2 linked regions of the Struthio camelus genome follow. Each later gene encodes a partner of the first gene's protein in a complex. Links are inferred from orthologs where the notes say so. Each region holds a gene or a part of one and is shown in the gene's direction. Other genes may lie near its edges. The genes, in order: WRAP53 and DKC1.

What was found.
Region 2: WRAP53 (region 1) and DKC1 share a complex: the UniProt entries of both Homo sapiens proteins name them as parts of the telomerase holoenzyme complex. The link is inferred for Struthio camelus from reciprocal best matches to the Homo sapiens genes WRAP53 and DKC1.

The regions. Positions count from the first base shown.
Region 1 is NW_027182724.1:69,716-81,004, reverse strand, and holds the start of WRAP53 (telomerase Cajal body protein 1), read left to right. Parts: upstream 1-5,757; 5' UTR 5,758-5,792; coding exon 5,793-5,814; intron 5,815-6,135; coding exon 6,136-6,199; intron 6,200-7,041; coding exon 7,042-7,140; intron 7,141-7,747; coding exon 7,748-7,856; intron 7,857-8,582; coding exon 8,583-8,671; intron 8,672-9,830; coding exon 9,831-9,921; intron 9,922-11,289. Other genes in the region: uncharacterized protein, read left to right, coding at 1,720-1,858, 3,992-4,101. UniProt on the Homo sapiens protein: RNA chaperone that plays a key role in telomere maintenance and RNA localization to Cajal bodies. Specifically recognizes and binds the Cajal body box (CAB box) present in both small Cajal body RNAs (scaRNAs) and telomerase RNA template component (TERC).
Region 2 is NC_090952.1:25,978,251-25,988,766, reverse strand, and holds the start of DKC1 (H/ACA ribonucleoprotein complex subunit DKC1), read left to right. Parts: upstream 1-5,527; 5' UTR 5,528-5,640; coding exon 5,641-5,656; intron 5,657-5,831; coding exon 5,832-5,893; intron 5,894-6,242; coding exon 6,243-6,329; intron 6,330-6,921; coding exon 6,922-7,013; intron 7,014-7,611; coding exon 7,612-7,796; intron 7,797-8,314; coding exon 8,315-8,379; intron 8,380-8,481; exon of another isoform or gene 8,482-8,728; intron 8,729-8,969; coding exon 8,970-9,096; intron 9,097-9,299; exon of another isoform or gene 9,300-9,375; intron 9,376-9,465; coding exon 9,466-9,596; intron 9,597-9,761; exon of another isoform or gene 9,762-9,896; intron 9,897-10,516. Other genes in the region: probable G-protein coupled receptor 34, read left to right, coding at 1-869; 40-kDa huntingtin-associated protein-like, read left to right, coding at 3,685-4,734.

The DNA.
Region 1 (11,289 bases):
TGCACACGTGTGTGCCGCCCTGACGCGGGGGGGGCCCGGGGGGGCAGGTGCTGTTCACGGACGCCACCTTCGCCATGGGGCAGGTGCTGGAGCGGGTGCAGGCGTGTGCATGCGTGTGCAGGCGTGTGCAGGCGTGTGCGTGCGTGTGCGTGCGTGTGCACACGCGTGTGCCGCCCTGACGCGGGGGGGCCCGGGGGGCAGGTGCTGTTCACGGACGCCACCTTCGCCATGGGGCAGGTGCTGGAGCGGGTGCAGGCGTGTGCATGCGTGTGCGTGCGTGTGCGTGCATGTGCGTGCGTGTGCGTGCGTGTGCGTGCGTGTGCACACGCGTGTGCCGCCCTGACGCGGGGGGGCCCGGGGGGGCAGGTGCTGTTCACGGACGCCACCTTCGCCATGGGGCGGGTGCTGGAGCGGGTGCAGGCGTGTGCAGGCGTGTGCATGCGTGTGCGTGTGTGTGCGTGCGTGTGCGTGCGTGTGCAGGCGTGTGCGTGCGTGTGCAGGCGGGTGCAGGCGTGTGCGTGCGTGTGCGTGCGTGTGCAGGCGTGTGCGTGCGTGTGCACACGCGTGTGCCGCCCTGACGCGCGGGGGGGCCCGGGGGGGCAGGTGCTGTTCACGGACGCCACCTTCGCCATGGGGCAGGTGCTGGAGCGGGTGCAGGCGTGTGCAGGCGTGTGCGTGCGTGTGCAGGCGGGTGCAGGCGTGTGCGTGCGTGTGCGTGCGTGTGCAGGCGTGTGCGTGCGTGTGCACACGCGTGTGCCGCCCTGACGCGCGGGGGGGCCGGGGGGCAGGTGCTGTTCACGGACGCCACCTTCGCCATGGGGCAGGTGCTGGAGCGGGTGCAGGCGTGTGCGGGCGTGTGCGTGCGTGTGCAGGCGTGTGCGTGCGTGTGCACACGCATGTGCCGGCCCTGACGCGCGGGGGGGCCCGGGGGGGCAGGTGCTGTTCACGGACGCCACCTTCGCCATGGGGCAGGTGCTGGAGCGGGTGCAGGCGTGTGCGTGCGTGTGCGTGCGTGTGCAGGCGTGTGCGTGCGTGTGCGTGCGTGTGCGTGCGTGTGCACACGCGTGTGCCGCCCTGACGCGGGGGGGCCGGGGGGGCAGGTGCTGTTCACGGACGCCACCTTCGCCATGGGGCAGGTGCTGGAGCGGGTGCAGGCGTGTGCGGGCGTGTGCGTGCGTGTGCAGGCGTGTGCGTGCGTGTGCACACGCATGTGCCGGCCCTGACGCGCGGGGGGGCCCGGGGGGGCAGGTGCTCTTCACGGACGCCACCTTCGCCATGGGGCAGGTGCAGGCGTGTGCATGCGTGTGCGTGCGTGTGCGTGCGTGTGCGTGCGTGTGCAGGCGTGTGCGTGCGTGTGCGTGCGTGTGCACACGCGTGTGCCGCCCTGACGCGGGGGGGCCCGGGGGGGCAGGTGCTCTTCACGGACGCCACCTTCGCCATGGGGCAGGTGCAGGCGTGTGCATGTCTGTGCATGCGTGTGTGTGCGTGTGCGGGCGTGTGCGAGCGTGTGCACACGCGTGTGCCGCCCTGACGCGGGGGGGCCCGGGGGGGCAGGTGCTCTTCACGGACGCCACCTTCGCCATGGGGCAGGTGCTGGAGCGGGTGCAGGCGTGTGCATGCGTGTGCGTGCGTGTGCGTGCGCGTGCGTGCGTGTGCGTGCGTGTGCGTGCGTGTGCACACGCGTGTGCCGCCCTGACGCGGGGGGGCCCGGGGGGGCAGGTGCTGTTCACGGACGCCACCTTCGCCATGGGGCAGGTGCTGGAGCGGGGCGGCCGCCCGGGGCCCCCCCAGGCGCTGCTCCGCTGCGTGCGCAGCATGGCCGCCCCCCCCCGCGCCCAGGCCTCCTGCTACACCGCCGGTACCCCCCCGGCGCGGGGGGCACTGGGGGGCACTGGGGGGGACTGGGAGGGACTGGGAGCACTGGGGGGGCTGGGGGGGACTGGGGGGGACTGGGAGCACTGGGGGGGCTGGGGGGGACTGGGAGCACTGGGGGGCAATGGGGGGGATGGGGGCACTGGGGGGCACTGGGGGGGATGGGGGCACTGGGGGGCACTGGGGGGGCTGGGGGCGATGGTGGGGCTGGGGGGGATGGGGGGATGGGGGGATGGGGGGCACTGGGGGGACTGGGAGCACTGGGGGGGTTGGGGGGGTTGGGGGGGCTGGGGGGACTGGGGGCACTGGGGAAACTGGGGGGAACTGGGGGGGACTGGGGGGGCGCTGGGAGCACTGGGAGCACTGGGGGGGCTGGGGGGGGTTGGGGGCACTGGGGGGACTGGGGGCACTGGGGAAACTGGGGGGAACTGGGGGGGACTGGGGGGGCGCTGGGAGCACTGGGAGCACTGGGGGGACTGGGGGGGCTGGGGGGGCTGGAGGGCACTGGGGGCACTGGGGGGGCTGGGGGCACTGGGAGCACTGGGAGCACTGGGGGGCACTGGGGAGGGGGCAGAGATCACCCCTAACCATGTGTCCCCCCCCCCGTCCTATGTCTCCCCCGTGTCCCTGTGGCGTGTGCATGGCGTGCGCATGGCGTGTGCATGGCGTGCGCGTGGTGTGCATGTGGCATGGCGTGGCGTGTGCATGGCGTGCGCGTGGCGTGCATGTGGCGTGCGCGTGGCGTGTGCATGGCGTGCGCGTGGCGTGTGCATGGCATGTGCGTGGCGTGTGCATGGCGTGTGCATGGCGTGTGCGTGGCGTGTGCATGGCGTGTGCGTGGTGTGCGCGTGGCGTGTGCGTGGCGTGTGCGTGGCGTGCGCGTGGCGTGTGCGTGGTGTGCGCGTGGCGTGTGCGTGGCGTGTGCGTGGCGTGTGCATGGCGTGTGCATGGCGTGTGCGTGGCGTGCGCGTGGCATGCACGTGGCGTGCGCGTGGCGTGTGCATGGCGTGTGCGTGGCGTGTGCGTGGCGTGCGCGTGGCGTGTGCATGGCGTGGCGTGGCGTGCGCGTGGCGTGCACGTGGCGTGCGCGTGGCGTGTGCGTGGCGTGTGCGTGGCGTGTGCGTGGCGTGCACGTGGTGTGTGCATGGCGTGCGCGTGGCGTGTGCATGGCGTGCGCGTGGCGTGTGCGTGGCGTGTGCGTGGCGTGCGCGTGGCGTGTGCATGGCGTGTGCGTGGCGTGTGCGTGGCGTGCGAATGGCGTGTGTGTGGCGTGTGCATGGCGTGCGCGTGGCGTGTGCATGGCGTGTGCGTGGCGTGTGCGTGGCGTGTGCGTGGCGTGTGCATGGCGTGCGCGTGGCGTGTGCGTGGCGTGCGCGTGGCGTGTGCGTGGCGTGTGCGTGGCGTGCGAATGGCGTGTGCATGGCGTGTGTGTGGCGTGTGCGTGGCGTGTGCGTGGCGTGCAAATGGCGTGTGCGTGGCGTGTGCGTGGCGTGTGCGTGGCGTGCGCGTGGCGTGTGCATGGCGTGTGCGTGGCGTGTGCATGGCGTGTGCGTGGTGTGTGCGTGGCGTGGCGTGGCGTGCGCGTGGCGTGCGCGTGGCGTGTGCGTGGTGTGTGCGTGGCGTGCGCGTGGTGTGTGCGTGGCGTGTGCGTGGCGTGCGCGTGGTGTGCGCGTGGCGTGCGCGTGGTGTGTGCGTGGCGTGCACGTGGTGTGCGCGTGGCGTGCGCGTGGCGTGTGCATGGCGTGTGCGTGGCGTGCGCGTGGCGTGTGCGTGGCGTGTGCGTGGTGTGCGCGTGGCGTGCGCGTGGCGTGTGCATGGCGTGTGCGTGGCGTGCGCGTGGCGTGTGCGTGGCGTGCACGTGGTGTGCGCGTGGCGTGCGCGTGGCGTGTGCATGGCGTGTGCGTGGCGTGCGCGTGGCGTGTGCATGGCGTGTGCGTGGCGTGCGCGTGGTGTGTGCGTGGCATGTGCGTGGCGTGCGCGTGGCGTGTGCGTGGCGTGTGCGTGGCGTGTGCGTGGCGTGTGCGTGGCGTGCGCGTGGCGTGTGCATGGCGTGCGCGTGGCGTGCGCATGGCGTGCGCGTGGCGTGTGCGTGGCGTGGCGTGTGCGTGGCGTGTTGCAGGCGTGTTCCGGCTGCGCAGCGGCGACCGCCTGCGCCTGCGGGTGCCGCGGGCCAACGCCTCCTTCGACCTCAGCGCCCACGGCACCTTCCTGGGCATCGTCCGCCTCTAGCGCCGGCGGCCCGGGGCCCCGGCGTCCGGGCAGCACAGGGGCCCCGGCGTCCGGGCAGCACAGGGGCCCCGGCGTCCAGCCACGAGGGGCCCCGGCGTCCGGGCAGCACAGGGCCCCGGCGTCCGGGCAGCACAGGGGCCCCGGCGTCCAGCCACGAGGGGCCCCGGCGTCCGGGCAGCACAGGGCCCCGGCGTCCGGCCACGAGGGGCCCCGGCGTCCGGGCAGCACAGGGGCCCCGGCGTCCGGCCACGAGGGGCCCCGGCGTCCGGGGAATGAGGGGTCCCGGCATCCGGGCATGAGGGGCCCCGGCGTCCGGGCAGCACAGGGGCCCCGGCGTCCGGGCAGCATAGGGCCCCGGCGTCCGGCCACGAGGGGCCCCGGCGTCCGGGCAGCACAGGGGCCCCGGCGTCCGGCCACGACGGGCCCCGGCGTCCGGGCAGCACAGGGGCCCCGGCGTCCGGCCACGACGGGCCCCGGCGTCCGGGCAGCACAGGGGCCCCGGCGTCCGGCCACGACGGGCCCCGGCGTCCGGGCAGCACAGGGGCCCCGGCGTCCGGGCAGCACAAGGGCCCCAGCGTCCGGCCACGAGGGGCCCCGGCGTCCGGGCAGCACAGGGGCCCCGGCGTCCGGGGAATGAGGGGTCCCAGCGTCCGGGCATGAGGGGCCCCGGCGTCCGGGCAGCAACGAGGGGCCCTGGCGTCCGGGCACCATGGCGACCCCCCATCACTGCTCCACCATCTTCCCCCACCCGGACGCCTGGGCCCCCCATTGCCTGTGTGTGGGGGTTGGGGGGGGTGTCGCTCCCCGGACGCCTGGGCCCCCCGGACACCTGGGCCCCCCTGTTGTCTGTGGGGGTGGGTGGGGGGGGAGTCGCTCCCCGGACGCCTGGGCCCCCCGAACGCCTGGGCCCCCCTGTTGTCTGTGGGGGGGGGTCGCTCCCTGGACGCCTGGGCCCCCCGGACGCCTGGGCCCCCCTGTTGTCTGTAGGGGGGGGTCGCTCCCTGGACGCCTGGGCCCCCCGGACGCCTGGGCCCCCCTGTTGTCTGTGGGGGGGGGATCGCTCCCCGGACGCCTGGGCCCCCCGGACGCCTGGGCCCCCCGTTGTCTGTGTGGGTGGGTGGGGGGGGGCGTCACTCCCCGGACGCCTGGGCCCCCCCATTGTCTGTGTGTATTGGTGGGGGGGGGGTCGCTCCCCGGACGCCTGGGCCCCCCGGACACCTGGGCCCCTCCGTTGTCTGTGTGGGTGGGTGGGGGGGGTCACTCCCCGGACGCCTGAGCCCCCCGGACGCCTGGGCCCCCCTGTTGTCTGTGTGGGTGGGTGGGGGGGGGGTCGCTCCCCGGACGCCTGGGCCCCCCTGTTGTCTGTGTGGGTGGGTGGGGGGGGGGTCGCTCCCCGGACGCCTGGGCCCCCCTGTTGTCTGTGTGGGTGGGTGGGGGGGGCGTCACTCCCCGGACGCCTGGGCCCCCCCCAACCCCGCACCAAGCTGCAGCCAAGCAACGAAACCTCGCGAGACTTCGCCGAAACTCTCGCGAGCGCCGGCGCGTGACGTCATCGAGCCGCGCGGCGGGGCGAGGGGGGGAGGGGGCGCGACGTCTCGCGAGATTCTCAGCCAATAAACGCGCCCGAGGCCGCTCCGCTCTCGCGAGATTCGCGCGCGGTGCCTGCCGGGAGGGGCGGGGCCTCGGCTGTCATGGCGGCCCCCATGGAGGAAGGTGTGTGTGGGGGGGGATTCCGGACTCCTGGGCCCCTGGTGGGGGGGAGGGGGGTCCCGGACGCCTGGGCCCTCGGTGGGGGGGAGGGGGGTCCCGGACGCCTGGGCCCCCGGTGGAGGGGGGGGGTCCCGGACGCCTGGGCCCCCTGGGGAGGGTGTGAGGGGGTCCCGGACGCCTGGGCCCCCGGTGGAGGCGGGGGGTCCCGGACGCCTGGGCCCTCGGTGGAGGGGGGGGGGTCCCGGACGCCTGGGCCCTCGGTGGGGGAGAGGGGGGGTTCCCGGACGCCTGGGCCCGTAGCCATACTGACCCCCCCCCCCGCAGCCTCCGACAACCCCCCCGCCGAGGGGGGGGGCCCCGCGGAGCCCCAGGAGCCCGAGGAGGAGCTGTGAGTGCCCCGGACGCCTGGGCCCCCTGGGGGGGGTGTGAGGGGGTCCCGGACACCTGGGCCCCCTGTGTGTGTGGGGGGGGGGTCCCGGACGCCTGGGCCCCCTGGGGGTGTGTGTGTGGGTGGGGTCCCGGACGCCTGGGCCCCCTGGGGGTGTGGGGGGGGGGGTCCCGGACGCCTGGGCCCCCTGAGGGTGTGTGTGGGGGGGGTCCCGGACGCCTGGGCCCCCTGGGGGTGTGTGTGTGGGTGGGGTCCCGGACGCCTGGGCCCCCTGAGGGTGTGTGTGGGGGGGGGGGTCCCGGACGCCTGGGCCCCCTGAGGGTGTGTGTGTGGGGGGGGTCCCGGACGCCTGGGCCCCCTGAGGGTGTGTGGGGGGGGGGGTCCCGGACGCCTGGGCCCCCTGAGGGTGTGTGTGGGGGGGGTCCCGGACGCCTGGGCCCCCTGGGGGTGTGTGTGTGGGTGGGGTCCCGGACGCCTGGGCCCCCTGAGGGTGTGTGTGTGGGGGGGTCCCGGACGCCTGGGCCCCCTGGGGGTGCGTGTGGGGGGGGGTCCCGGACGCCTGGGCCCCCTGGGGGTGCGTGTGGGGGGGGGGTCCCGGACGCCTGGGCCCCCGGGGAGGGTTGAGGGGGGTCCCGGACACCTGGCCCCTCGGTGTAGGGGGGGGTCCCGGACGCCTGGGCCCCCTGAGGTTGTGTGTGTGTGGGGGGGGTCCCGGACGCCTGGGCCCCCTGAGGGTGTGTGTGTGGGGTCCCGGACGCCTGGGCCCCCGGGGATGGTTGAGGGGGGTCCCGGACACCTGGGCCCTCGGTGTTGGGGGGGTCCCGGACGCCTGGGCCCCGCAGGCCGCCCCCCGCGGAGCTGCAGCGCCCGCCGCGGCTGGTGGCGGAGGCGCGGCAGGAGTACGGCCGCCGGCCCGAGAACTTCCTCAAGGGCTGCAAGTGGTGAGCCGGACGCCTGGGCCCCTCGTGGGGGCGGGGGGGGGCGCGGCCGGGGACGCCTGGGCCCCTCGTGGGGGCTGGAGGGGTTCCCCGAGCCCGCCCGGACGCCTGGGCCCCTGGGGGGTGTGGGGGGGCTGGAGAGAGCCCTCCCGGACGCCTGGGCCCCTGGGGGGTGTGGGGGGGCTGGAGAGAGCCCTCCCGGACGCCTGGGCCCCTGGGGGGTGTGGGGGGGCTGGAGGGAGCCCTCCCGGACACCTGGGCCCCTGGGGGGTGTGGGGGGGGCTGGAGAGGTTCCCCGAGCCCGCCCGGACGCCTGGGCCCCTGGGGGGGGGTGGAGGGGTGCCGCGAGCCCGCCCGGACGCCTGGGCCCCTGGGGGGTGTGGGGGGGGCTGGAGGGGTGCCGCGAGCCCGCCCGGACGCCTGGGCCCCTGGGGGGTGTGGGGGGGGGCTGGAGGGGTGCCGCGAGCCCGCCCGGACGCCTGGGCCCCTGGGGGTTGTGGGGGGGGGCTGGAGGGGTGCTGCGAGCCCGCCCGGACGCCTGGGCCCCTGGGGGTTGTGGGGGGGAGCTGGAGGGGTGCCGCGAGCCCGCCCGGACGCCTGGGCCCCGCAGGGCCCCCGACGGCTCCTGCCTGCTGACGTGCAGCAACGACAACACCCTGCGCATCTACGACCTGCCGCCCGCCCTGGGGGGGGGCCCGGGGGGGGCCCTGCCCGAACTGGTACCCGTCCGGGGGGGGTCCGGGGGGTCTTTGTGGGTCCTTGGGGGGGACTCTGGGGGGTCCTGGGGGCAACGGGGGGGGCCCAGGGGGTATTTAGGGGTGTTTGGGGGGGTCCCAAGGATGTGGGGGGGGTCCCAGGGGTGTTGGGGGGGTATTTTGGGGTATTTGGGGGGGTCTGGGGTGTTGGGGGGGGTCCCAGGGGTGTTGGGGGGGTCTCTGGGGTGTTTGGGGGGGTCCCAGGAGGTATTTGGGGGTCTGGGGCGTTGGGGGGGGGTCCCAAGGCGTTTGGGGGGAGTCCAAGGGGGTATTTGGGGGGTATTTGGGGGATGTTTGGGGGGTCCTGGGGGTGTTTGGGGGTGTTTGGGGTGTGTTTGGGGGGTCCTGGGGGTATTTGGGGGTCTCTGGGGTATTTGGGGGATGTTTGGGGGGTCCTGGGGGTGTCTGGGGGGGTCACAGGGGTGTTGGGGGGGGTCTCTGGGGTGTTTGGGGGGTGTTTGGGGGGGGTCCTGGGGGTATTTGGGCGTCTCTGGGGTATTTGGGGGATGTTTGGGGGGTCCCGGGGGTGTCTGGGGAGGGTCACAGGGGTGTTGGGGGGTCTCTGGGGTGTTTGGGGGGTGTTTTGGGGTCCCGGGGGTTGTTTGGGGGGGTCCCGTGGGCCTCTGGGGGGTCCCTGGGGGCCGTGGGGGGGGGGGGGGCCGGGCGAGGGACCCAGGCGTCCGGGCGCAGGTGCCGGCGCTGCGGGTGCCGGAGGGCGACACCGTCTACGACTACTGCTGGCTGCCGGGGATGAGCTCGGCCCGGCCCCCCTCCTGCCTGTGAGCACTGGGGGCACTGGGAGCACTGGGGGAGCCCACTGGTGGTTACTGGGAGCCCTGGGGGGGCACTGGAAGCACTGGTGGGGGTGGCGTGGGGAGTGCGGGGGGCACTGGGAGCACTGGGGGAGCCCACTGGTGGTTACTGGGAGCCCTGGGGGGGCACTGGTAGTTACTGGGAGCCCTGGGGGGTCACTGGGAGCACTGGGTGGGGTGGCGTGGGGAGTGCGGGGGGCACTGGGAGCACTGGGGGAGCCCACTGGTAGTTACTGGGAGCCCTGGGCGGGCACTGGTAGTTACTGGGAGCCCTGGGGGGGCACTGGGAGCCCTGGGTGGGGTGGCGTGGGGAGTGCGGGGGGCACTGGGAGCACTGGGGAAGCCCACTGGTAGTTACTGGGAGCCCTGGGGGGGCACTGGTAGTTACTGGGAGCCCTGGGGGGGCACTGGGAGCACTGGGTGGGGTGGCGTGGGGAGTGTGGGGGGCACTGGGAGCACTGGGGGAGCCCACTGGTGGTTACTGGGAGCCCTGGGGGGTCACTGGGAGCACTGGGTGGGGTGGCGTGGGGAGTGCGGGGGGCACTGGGAGCACTGGGGGAGCCCACTGGTAGTTACGGGGAGCACTGGGGAGGTTGCTGGGAGCACTGGAGTTACTGGGAGCACTGGGAGGCTCACTGGGGGGTCACTGGGAGCACTGGGGAAGCCCACTGATAGTTACTGGAAGCACTGGGGGGTCTCTGGTAGTTACTGGGAGCCCTGCGGGGGCACTGGGAGCACTGGGGGGGGTGGCGTGGGGAGTGCGGGGGTCACTGGGAGCACTGGGGGCACTGGGGGAGCCCACTGGTGGTTAGTGGGAGCACTGGGGGGCCATTGGGAGTACTAGGGAGGTTACTGGGAGCGCTGGAGTTACTGGGAGTACTGGGAGAGTCATTGGGGGTCACTGGGAGCACTGGGGAGGGCACTGGTGGGGGTTACTGGGAGCACTGGCCATACTGGCAGCCCTGAGGAGGGCACTGGGGGGGGGTAACTGGGAGCCTTGGGGGAGCACTGGGAGTTACGGGGAGCCCTGGGGAAGGGGGAACTGGGAGCCCTGGGGGGGCACTGGGAGTTACTGGGAGTACTGGGGGGGGGGTCACTGGGGCTTACTGGGAGCACTGGGGCGCAGGGTGGCCAGCAGCAGCCGGGACAACCCCGTGCACCTCTGGGACGCCTTCGACGGGAGCCTGCGCGGCTCCTTCCGCGCCTACAACCACCTGGTGAGGGGGGGCCCAGGCGTCCGGGGGGCCCAGGCGTCCGGGGGGGCGGCGGGGGGGCTCCTTCCGCGCCTACAACCACCTGGTGAGGGGGGGCCCAGGCGTCCGGGGGGCCCAGGCGTCCGGGGGGCGGCGGGGGGGGCTCCTTCCGCGCCTACGACCACCTAGTGAGGGGGGGCCCAGGCGTCCGGGGGGCCCAGGCGTCCGGGGGGTGGCGGGGGGGGCTCCTTCTGCGCCTACGACCACCTGGTGCGGGCGGGCCCAGGCGTCCGGGGGGCCCAGGCGTCCGGGGGGCGGCGGGGGGGGCTCCTTCCGCGCCTACGACCACCTGGTGAGGGGGGGCCCAGGCGTCCGGGGGGCCCAGGCGTCCGGGGGGGCGGCGGGGGGGGCTCCTTCCGCGCCTACGACCACCTAGTGAGGGGGGGCCCAGGCGTCCGGGGGGCCCAGGCGTCCGGGGGGCGGCGGGGGGGGCTCCTTCCGCGCCTACGACCACCTAGTGAGGGGGGGCCCAGGCGTCCGGGGGGCGGCGGGGGGGGCTCCTTCCGCGCCTACGACCACCTGGTGAGGGGGGGCCCAGGCGTCCGGGGGGCCCAGGTGTCCGGGGGGCGGCGGGGGGGGCTCCTTCCGCGCCTACGACCACCTGGTGAGGGGGGGCCCAGGCGTCCGGGGGGCCCAGGCGTCCGGGGGGGCGGCGGGGGGGGCTCCTTCCGCGCCTACGACCACCTAGTGAGGGGGGGCCCAGGCGTCCGGGGGGCCCAGGCGTCCGGGGGGCGGCGGGGGGGGCTCCTTCCGCGCCTACGACCACCTAGTGAGGGGGGGCCCAGGCGTCCGGGGGGCCCAGGCGTCCGGGGGGCGGCGGGGGGGGCTCCTTCCGCGCCTACGACCACCTAGTGAGGGGGGGCCCAGGCGTCCGGGGGGCCCAGGCGTCCGGGGGGTGGCGGGGGGGGCTCCTTCTGCGCCTACGACCACCTGGTGCGGGCGGGCCCAGGCGTCCGGGGGGCCCAGGCGTCCGGGGGGCGGCGGGGGGGGCTCCTTCCGCGCCTACGACCACCTGGTGAGGGGGGGCCCAGGCGTCCGGGGGGCCCAGGCGTCCGGGGGGGCGGCGGGGGGGGCTCCTTCCGCGCCTACGACCACCTAGTGAGGGGGGGCCCAGGCGTCCGGGGGGCCCAGGCGTCCGGGGGGCGGCGGGGGGGGCTCCTTCCGCGCCTACGACCACCTAGTGAGGGGGGGCCCAGGCGTCCGGGGGGCCCAGGCGTCCGGGGGGCGGCGGGGGGGGCTCCTTCCGCGCCTACGACCACCTGGTGAGGGGGGGCCCAGGCGTCCGGGGGGCCCAGGCGTCCGGGGGGCGGCGGGGGGGGCTCCTTCCGCGCC
Region 2 (10,516 bases), on another chromosome or scaffold:
ACACCCTTGCACTCTGGGTGTTCTCGTGCAGCGTGCAGCGGAAGACCTCCATCACCGTGTACATGAGGAACCTGGCTCTGTCCGACCTGTTGCTCTCCCTCTGCCTGCCCTTCCGCATAGCTTATCAAAACAAGAGTGAGCCCCGGATCTTCTGCAACATTGTCGGGGCCTTCTTCTATCTCAACATGTACGTCAGCATCACGTTCCTCAGCCTGATCAGCCTGGACCGCTATCTGAAGATCATCCGGCCCCTCCAGAAGTTTAAGATTCACACCATGTCCTGTAGCACCATGGCCTCTGGGGTGGTTTGGTTGGTGCATTCAGCTTTCATGCTACCTTTCTTTTTTGAGACAAAAGGAAAAGGGCCCTGTGACCATAAATGCTTCCACTTCAGGAGCAAAAGCACTGTGGCAGCAGCCTTTAACATGGTTGCAGTAGCCACTTTCTTTATCCTGCTACTGCTCTTCCTTTACTCCTACAGCAAGATATTTGCCAGGCTCCACAGAGTCTCTTCAGTGAATGCTCAGCAGCTGAACAAGAGGACTAGCATGAAAGCCATCACCAAGACCTTCGTTGTCCTCATCATCTTCATTGTATGCTTCACCCCCTATCACATTGTCCGTATTCCTTATGTCCTCGCGCAAGTGGGGGTCATTTCTAGTCTGCCCTGGAAGCAGGGTCTCCATCTCGCTAATGAGCTTGTGCTCTGCATCTCAGCCCTCAACAGCTGCCTTGACCCAGTGATCTTCTTTTCCCTGTCTAGCAGCTTCCGGAGGGCTGTGCTCTGCACCATCCAGGGCAGGCTGAAGAGAGCTCTTCTAAGGAACCAGGGAGGACTGAGCTACAGCAGGTCTGTGACTGAAGTCTAGGCCTTCCAGTGGGTACCAAGGTCTCAGGCATGGGATGATCTCGTCAAGGATTTGCTCTGACTGCTGGTATTTACCAAATGAGACTTGCCAGGAAGACAGAGGAAGAAACTGGAACCATTTCATGTTTCCTCCACTGGCACCATCAGGGCTAGTGCTACCCATGGGGGTAAATGAAGAAGAAAAGAATAGCTGAGGCCTTACTGTTTTCCATGCCAGCTCTGCTCACACAGCTGAAGAGCTTATTTCCTAGGAAGAATGAAGGCTGGGTGTGCCACAGAAGAAACAGCCTTGGCCTAGGACCTCCACCCAGCGTAGGGAAGGGGAGGGACAGGGCCCAGGACAGAGAAAGGCTCCTTCGATGGGAGGAGAAGTAGTGAGGGGCAGAACAGGAATGGGAATCTGCTGTGGATCTTGTCTACCTCCACACTATAGAAAGCATGAAATGGGAAAAGAAGATGAAGTGCAGAAGAATTGGGAAAGGGGGAGGGAAAAGCTCATTGGGGCATTACTGGGGAGCAGAAGAATGTTTGGCTCCATGATGGAGTGCAGAGATACGCAATGCCGGGCTTGGATAACAGGCAAGCATTATAACCCCTGTAACTTCAAACTAAAACAACAGGCACTTTTTTTCTCTTGTTTTTACCTCAGTCCCTGTAGCACAGCGTCAGCCTCACTTTTCTGTGTATTCAAACAGGCAACTGTGGGCTGCTTTTAGCTGTTTTCCTTTGCCCATTTCACTGGCATGTTCACATGGGACTGGCAGCTTCCTCGCCTGACCATTGCACAGCACTTGTTTCTGGCTTGGACCGTGCCAGGAACATTGCTCCAGCAATGTTCAATCTCAAGAATGAGATGCTGACTTTGATGTCCCCAGCTCAAGCACCGTTACTATGCACTGACTCAAAAGGAAGTTTTTGGCCTTTACTATTCTTCATTGCCCATCCTCTTCCCAAAGAAGAGGATATTTCCCTGGTTGGGGTTTTTCCCCCCCTTTCATATGCTCACATCTCATCTGTTCACTTATTTTTAGAAGACTGCAGGCTTGGAGAAACACACTGATTCACACACCTGGCAAGCAAAGCCTGGGCGATTAGCATTGGGGAGGATTTTCATTCAGACTGTGAACTGCTTTATTAATTACTTAATTCAAACACCTGAGGAATACTTGTGAGAATAAAATGTTTTGTTAAAGATTGAATTCTCTGATCTTTCCAGTTGAGGCTGGAGCAACCCCTGAATCTCACTTTAGCTCTGTTACAAAGGAGCACCTGAAGCTCAGGGGAAGACACACTTGCTGCCTTCTGTTATCAGTGCTAATAAACACACCAAGAGCAAGGGAGAGGGGTATGTTTCCTTTTAGTGGGGGTGGGGGGAAATGCCGAAAGCCAAGCTCTTCCTGTGGAAAGCTGCAAGAAAAGGTTACAAAGCAGTTCTCTTCTGATCAGCGCTAACAAGAGTCAAAGCAAAAACAACGTGCGGTTCAGAAGTCTCAACATCGCAACACCGGAGCACCTGTGCGCTATGCAGCTTGAAGGAAACCCCGTGAGCTCTTGCAGTCAAGTTTCCCCCTCATGAAGTGGAGTCTCTTGACATCTTCCTGCCAGAGGAAACTAAGAGTAGCACAGAGAGCGGGACCTCACCTCAGCCCAGCGCTGGACCTGGCCCGCATGCGGCGCCTGGGATCAGAGGGGTGTGTGGTACCTGCACAGGGGGGAGCAGCGTGCGGTGAGGGTGAGAGCAGATGGGGACTTGTGATGCTCGTGGTGGGTCTCGGGGGCAGGCAGCGGTGGGAGGGTTGGCAGCAAAGCACGTGGAAGTTTCCGGCTCTACAAGAGAAAGCCGCAGGGCCGAAGGGGCTGATGCTCACTTCTCGGAAGCCGGTGCCCTGTACCATATCCTGTTTCCTTTACGGTCAAGGCAAGCAGCTCAGCGCACAGCGGTCAGCGGCTGCAGGCCTGCTCGCCCCGCACTGCGCTCCCGACGGCTCCCTCCGTGCGGGAAGCGGGGTGGACCGGCTCCTTCCGCCCAGCACCGAGGCGGCAGGTCCAGCCCCCGCGTCCTGGCCAGGGGACTGAGCTTCGGCGCAGCCGCCCCAGCACCACGTCGCCCGGCCCGCCAGGCCTTGGGGCCTCCATCGCGCCCCACGGCCCTGTCCAACCTCCGCAAACAGACGAAGGCTTTTCGGCCGACACTGGCACGGGACTGAATCAGGACAAACTGAAGGCGACACCGTGATGTGAGCGAAGGTGAGCGCAACGAAACGGAGGCTCCGGTGGTGCAGGAGGAGCCACAGCAACACGGGCGAGACCAGCAGGTCCGCACAGCGCAGCCGCAGCCCCGTGTCCCCCCTGGGGACCCGTCGCCAGGAGCAGGAGCAGGAGGATTGGCCGGACCCCGCCCCGCGAAGGCGTGGCGAGGGCGTGGCGAGGGCGTGGCGAGGGCGGGGCCCCGCCCCGCCCCGCCCCGCCGGCCCCGCCCCGCCCCCCCCGCCCCGCCCCGCCCCTACTCCACCGCCTCCCGCGGTGCGCCAGGAAGCCGGCGCCCGTTGGCCCCGCCGCACCGCCCACGTGCCCCAGGAAGCCGGCGCCCATTGGCCCCGCCGCGCCGGCCACGTGCCCCGGGGAGCCGGCGCCCATTGGCCCCGCCGCGCCGGCCACGTGCCCCGGGGAGCCGGCGCCCATTGGCCCCGCCGCGCCGGCCACGTGCCCCGGGGAGCCGGCGCCCATTGGCCCCGCCGCGCCGGCCACGCGCCCCGGCAGCCGGCGCCCATTGGCCGCGGCGGGCGGCGCGGCGTCGGTCGCGGGCGGTGGCGGCGATGCTGGCGGCGGCGGGCGGCGCGGGCCCCGGCGGGGCGGGCGGCGGCGGCTCGGCGGGCGGGCCGGGCCCCGGCGGCGGCGGCGGCGGCGGCGGGGGGGACGGGGACTTCCTGTCGCGGTACCGGCTGGTGTCGGCCAAGCTGCGGCGGCGGTTCCTGCGGAAGCCGAACGTGGCGGAGGCGGCGGAGCAGTTCGCGGCGCTGGCGCGGGAGCTGCGCGCCCAGGAGAGCCTGCCCTACGCGGCCTGGTGCCAGCTGGCCGTGGCGCGCTGCGCGCAGAGCCTCTTCCACGGGCCGGCCGAGGCGGCGGCGCTGGCCGAGGCGGCGCGGCTCTTCCTGCGGCAGGAGCGGGACCTGCGGCAGCGGCTGGCGCTGCGCGGCGGCTTCGGCGAGCACGCGGCGGCGGCGCAGAGCTGCGGCGCCTTCGCCGCCCGCCTGCACCTGGAGCGGGGGCAGCCGGCGCTGGCGGCCGGGCTCTGCCTGGAGCTGGCGGCGGCGCTGCGCGACACGGGCCGGCCGGCGCGCGCCGCCGCGGCCCTGCAGCGGGCCGCCGAGCTGCTGGCGGCGGCGCGGCTGCCGCTGGAGGCGCTGCGCTGCCTGGGCGAGCTGGCGTCGTGCCTGCTGCTGGGCCGCGACTACGCGGGCGCGCTGGCGGCGCTGACGCGGGCGCAGGCGCTGGCGCGGGCGGGCGGCGGCGGCGGCGCCTTCCGCGAGGCGCTGGCGCGCTGCGAGGTGTCGCGGGTGCTGCTGCTGCTGCTGCTGCAGCCGCCGCCGGCCAAGCTGCCGCCCGAGCACGCGCGCACGCTGGAGCAGTACTGCTGGGAGGCCCTGGAGAGCGGGCCGGGCGGCGGGCAGCCGGCGGCGGCGGGCTACCTGCCGGCCGAGCTCTTCCTGCTGCTGCAGTCGGCCGTGCTGGCCTGCCAGGAGAAGGACCTGGAGGCGCTCAAGGCGCTGCAGGCCGAGCTCTGGCCGCTGCTCAGCGCCGAGCAGAACCACCTGCTGCACCTGGTGCTGCAGGAGATGACCAGCCCCTCGGGCCAGGGGCTCTGAGGCCGGGCCCGGCCCGGCCGCCCGGGGGCCTTGTGCCTGCTGCCTCGGCCCCGGTGCGGCCGCGGAGGAGGCCCGTCCCGGCGTGGCGCTGGGCGCCGCCGCGAGCGCGTGGGCCGCGGGAAGACGCTGCTTGCGGCGAGCCCGGTCTGCGCGGGGAGCCCGTCAGCAGCCGGCGCCGCTCGGCCCGCTTGTGCGGCCGCCGCAGCCCGCTCGGCCCGGCGCCGCGTGGACGCGGGTCCTTCTTGCTGCGCGACCGCGGGGCGTTTCGCCTCGGGACCCTCTGGCGCTGCAGGACGCCCCGCCGGGACGCTGCGCTGCCGCGGGCGCGGAGGACGCGGTCGGCGTGGGCAGCCGCGGCCCCGGCGCCTTTCCCGGCCGGCCGGAGCGTGCCCTGCGCGACGGTCCCCGAGCAGCTGTGTTCGTCGCCGAAAGCCTCTGCGGGGACCGTTCCTGTTGCCCTCGCTCGGGGCGAAGCCGGCTCAGCGTGCGACAGCCCCGGGCGGGGGGCGGCGGCAGTGGGGGCCCCGAGCTGGCCGCTGTGCAGCCCGCAGCGCGCTGGGGGGCCGTGCGCCCCGCCGGGGCCGGCGTGAGCCGGTGGAAGCGGTGCCCTGTGGGAGCCCAGGGCACGGACCTGCCCTTCGCATTACAGTAAACGACCTCTTTATGCACTTTATTTTCCGGGCCTCCAGCCTCTTCTTCCTTCGGGTGCGGCCACGCGCGGCGGCCCCTCGGCTACCGGGGGTGGTGGCTCCCCTTGCCCCGCCCCCTCCTCTACAGCCCCGCCCCTTTTCTATTGCCCCCTCCTCGCTGCGTGGCCCCGCCCCCCGCGGCTGGCCCGCGCGGGGCACGTCGGGAAGGGGCGGTCCTTCCGGTCTCTGCGCGGCGGCGGCAGCACGCGGCGCGGCCATGGCGGACGGGGACGGTGCGTATTGGCGGGGCCGCCCCGTGCCGCCCGGCGGCTCCGGTGCTGTGCGGAGGACGGAGGCGGTGCGGGGGCGGGGGGGAACTAGAGGCCGTGGCTCCGCGCGGCCCGGCCCGCCCCCGCCCCGCGCGGCCCGGTCCGGTGTGGCGGGGTGCTGACCGCGTGTCTCCCGCAGGCTCCGGCGTGAAGAAACGGCGCAAGAAGGAGAAGCGGCCGCTCCCCGACGCGGACGTCGCGGTGAGCCCTCGCCGCCGGCCCGCTGCCCTCCCCGGCACGGCTGGGCCCGTCTCGCCGTGCCCCGGGGCCTGCTCGGGCCGGGTCGGGCCCGCCGGGGGGGGATGGGGCGGGCGCGGGGAGGCCCCGGTGTCGCGCCCCGCGCTGTGTCCGCCTCTTCCCGCCCCCCCTCGGCACGGCCCCGGTGACCCCTCGGTCCCCGGCACCGGTTAAAGCGTTTTAAAGCAGAAATTACCGAATAGAGAGCGGGCGTTGTTCGGTCTGGGCGAGTAGCCCCGGCAGGCGGCACGCGGTGGCCGGGCGGAAGCACGGCCCCAGCTCTCTGATTTTGTGTCCTTTCGTCCGTTTTCAGGATATTCAGCACACGGAGGAGTTCTTCATCAAACCCGAGTCCCGCGTGGCCCAGCTGGACACGTCGCAGTGGCCGCTGCTGTTGAAGGTAGCGCGGGTCAATGGGCTTTTTCTTTTGATCTCTTTCTCAAAGCGTGCACGTACAGATGCAACGCTCCTCCTCGGTGTTTTGTAGTCTGCTCTAAAAAACAGCTTATGTGACCCTCAAAGCAGAGGCTAAGCCACTGCCTGCAGAAGTCATGCTATAAAATTTGACCAGCCTTATTGTTTGCATACTACTCTTGAAGTTTCTAGTCTCTTGTAAAGACCGCACAGGATTCTTTCAGCTATTCTTTATTTTGGTCTGAGAGTGGCCTATGGCCTACGTAAACTCCTGAGCTCTTTGTACAGAGGTGCTGAGGCATGCTGGTTTTATTTTGGTTTTTAAAGCTTTTCATTCTGCTACTTTGACATCTTTTCCTGTGGAGGGTTTTTTTCCCTTCTCTTTCCAAAAAAAAAAACAACTCTGCAATTGCATTCCTAGGTCATTTTAACTTTGGAAGAGGTGGTCCCAGTTACGTACACACTAATCAGACAACGTGTAATTGCGGAACGCATTCGGGCAAAGCTCTGTTGAAACTGAAGTACAGCGAGCTCGAGAGTGTTCTACTTATGGTTTTACTTTTGCTTGGATTTTGTAGAACTTTGACAAGTTAAATGTGTTGACAGCACACTACACACCCCTTCCTTCTGGTGCTAATCCGCTGAAGAGAGAGATCTCTGACTACGTTAGGTGAGTGTAATAACTGCAAGAGTGTTTATATCTTTCTTTCAGAGCTAATATCTTCAGGTAATTTTGTGAAGGTGATAGCTGAAAATAAGTGGCAGTGACCGCTTTTGTCTGATGTTTTGTGTTTTGAGGTTCCTCGTGTACCTTTCTACTTGCCTTTGTACCTTGCTGTTAAACGGTAAATCTGGAAATAGACCCACTGGTCGCTTCTTGTGAAGTTTGCTTTGTTCCGGGTTAGCAGCTGGCCTGCCAGCAGGCGTGCAAATGGGGTCTTATGGAAAGTCCTTCAGCCTGCCAGTTGTGGAGACTGCTTGGAGTTTGTGTGCAGTATTTTGATTGAGTTTAAGCACTCAGTAGTGATCAGCCGTCTGAAGAGATGAAAATTGCTTGATCTTGAAATACACGACCTGCCTTTCGGAAGAGCTGTGGGCAGAGTAACTCCTTGTGGTCTCAGTGGGAGCAACTGTGGTCGTAGGCTCTTATTTGGCTCTTTATTTAGAAATATATTTTCTTTTGAAGACGTGACAAGTCATCAATGGTTCTTTGCTTGCTCTGTTTGCCCTGATGCTTAATTTCTGATCTCTGTCATCTTGCACTTTAGGTCAGGCTTTATTAACCTCGACAAACCTTCCAATCCATCTTCGCACGAGGTGGTTGCATGGATCCGACGCATCCTTCGAGTGGAGAAGACTGGACATAGTGGCACTCTGGATCCTAAGGTGACTGGGTGCCTGATTGTGTGCATTGAGAGGGCGACACGACTGGTCAAATCTCAGCAGAGTGCAGGTATGTTTACTACCCTGGGACTGTTTACAGTCTAAGTGACTGGGGAAGTGCAGAGTTCTTCTGAAGACAAGCTGGAGATTACCATTCCTGCCTACAAAAAGGGCTACTCTTCACCTTGAGTGACTTAAATTTGAGGGTTGTTTATAGTGAGGCCATGTCAATACCATTGCAAGTGTTTTGATCGTTTTTCCCTGTCAGGGTCTTATGCTGTTTTAGGTCAAGGAAAACATTTCTGAGTGACTGGTTTCGTATGTTAACTGGACTCATGGCTATAGGTGGCCTCAGTCTACAAGTTCAATCAAACAACACTTGGTGAAGAAACACGCCTGCAACTTAGATTTTTTTTCTTCTGTTGGAAGAATAAGCAACTGCATAACATATTGCTTGTGCTGTCTAGGAAAGGTGGTTGTGAAGATACCTGTTGGGCTGTCTAGATGTTTCACTATGTAGCAGTGTGCACCTTGAGGTCAACATTAAATGCAAGTGGCCACTCCTGACTGCTCTTGTCGTCCTTTTAGGCAAAGAGTATGTGGGAATTGTTCGGCTGCACAATGCAATTGAAAGTGAGGCCCAGCTGGCCAGGGTAAGTCTCTGCACGCTGTTAGCCATGCTGATGCTTGAAGTGCAAAGCATTCAGCGTCCCTGGGAGATGACGGCAGGAATGGAACTCAGGTGTGTTTTGTATGTGAGGTGATGACGAAGTTTATCCATTCTCTGAGTGCAGTGGCACTGCCCTCCTGCAGCACCCTGATTCCTGTTCTAGGATCTGGGTGCTGTGCAGCCTCCAGAGACCCTGCAGTCTCCCAGTGTCCTACTGGGGGCTGCTGGGGCCTGTGGCTGACTGCCTGCAGGAGTGAGGTGTGCTGGCAGGGTCGGAGCCCTTGTCTGTGGGGGCTCCGTCCCCACCAAGATGAGGGATGATGTCTGATCACCTACTGCCACCTGATTTTAAAAAAAAAAAGCCCAGCTATGCCTCACTGACAGCTGGGGCAGTATTTTGACCACATCTCTGGTTCATTTTGGCTTTTTAAAATGTGAAGTAGCCAGATGATGATGAACCTTGTGGGTTCTCACTCATGGAAGTGGTCCAAATGCCTGGAGACCTCAAGGCATTTTTATATTACATGTGCTAATGGAAGAAGTGTGACCTGTTACTTCTACTTCTGCCCTCAGGCAATAGAAACTCTGACAGGCGCACTGTTTCAGCGACCGCCCCTCATTGCTGCTGTGAAGCGACAACTGAGAGTCAGAACCATCTATGAGAGCAAGCTAGTGGAGTATGACCCTGAGAGAAGATTAGGTAAAATACCACTCTGTCTTCTCTCTTTTCAACCACCAGCTGATAAATTCCCTGTGAATTGGGCTGCTTTCTATTCTTTGCAGATGTCATAAGACTGTTAAATTCTTGCCACGATCAAGCAGTAGCTGCTTCTTGCCTTGGTTCTGTGCGCTGAGAAGCAAATCTCATTTATATGTCAGTAGAGCTGAGTCCTCCACTGAAGAGCCAAATGATGTCAGCTAGATGGCATTAGCACTCTGTGCAAAGATGACTTTCATCTATCACCCAATGCTGATGGCTCTGTGAGAGGCTAAACACAAAGCTTCTAGACATGGTTTATTTCTAGATATATGTTTAAGTGCTCTTCCCTTGGCCTGGCCTGTGTTTCAGGTATCTTCTGGGTGAGCTGTGAAGCAGGCACATACATCCGAACACTCTGTGTTCACCTTGGCTTGCTGCTGGGTGTTGGAGGCCAGATGCAAGAGCTCCGGAGAGTGCGCTCAGGGATTCTGGGAGAGAAGGTAGAGTGGCGACTACTTATAAACCAGCAATTTTGGAATTGTGAGAGTTCCCCAGAACTTTGTTGCTCTTACAGCATTAGAAGAAGGTATAGGTGCGTGGTGCCTGGGAGAAGTTACGTTTGTGAACAGCCCCCAAAACGTGGGAGCTTTTGCTATAGATGCCTGAACCAAAGTGTTGAGTTCAGTTCAGGGTGGTTGCCCCTGTTCTGGTAATTAAACTTTGGGACAGTGAGTGGCTGGGAAGTGCACCATGGTGACTGGAAGTTTTCCTATGCCACCTGTGTTTCTCAGCCTACAAGCCATGCATGTGCCATGAGTTCAGGAGTGTGAGCTATCTGCTTAGCTATCTACAACCACTTGGTGTCGTGTGGCACAGTGCAAGGCACGTGCTTCCATTGAAATGAGCTCAGGGGATGCCAGCCTTCAATGATCCTGAACACTTGCGTAGGCTTTTCAGTGTGGACATAGCTGCATCCCGCTGCCAGTCTGAACTCCAGGACCAGTTTCTCTCCCTGTAGAGCAGGAGTATCAGAGTGCAAGTGCTCCTCCATCCATCTGTGCTCTTACCACAGATGTAATCATTTGCAGTCATTTTTGAATTCCAGCTGCTGGATGCTCACAGCTGCTTCAAGAATTTTTTGCCTGTCACAGTTTGAGGAGCTGGTTAATTTAAGCTTTTACTCCCCCATCTCCTTTGTCTAGAAGTCCCAGGTATTTGCGTAAGCTTAGTCTCACGTCAGGTGTTTCACGTACCTTATGTACTAGATCCAAGTGCAGTCTGAGGTTAGGACAGTTGAAGCCTGCAGTAACAAAGGTCAGGGCCAGAGGGTTTCAAACTGTTGCTGGAAAATATTTGTTCTTGCCTTTTTTAGGTTGCTTTTTTGACACTTCTGAATTCAGAATCTGTTCTCTGCTCCTTT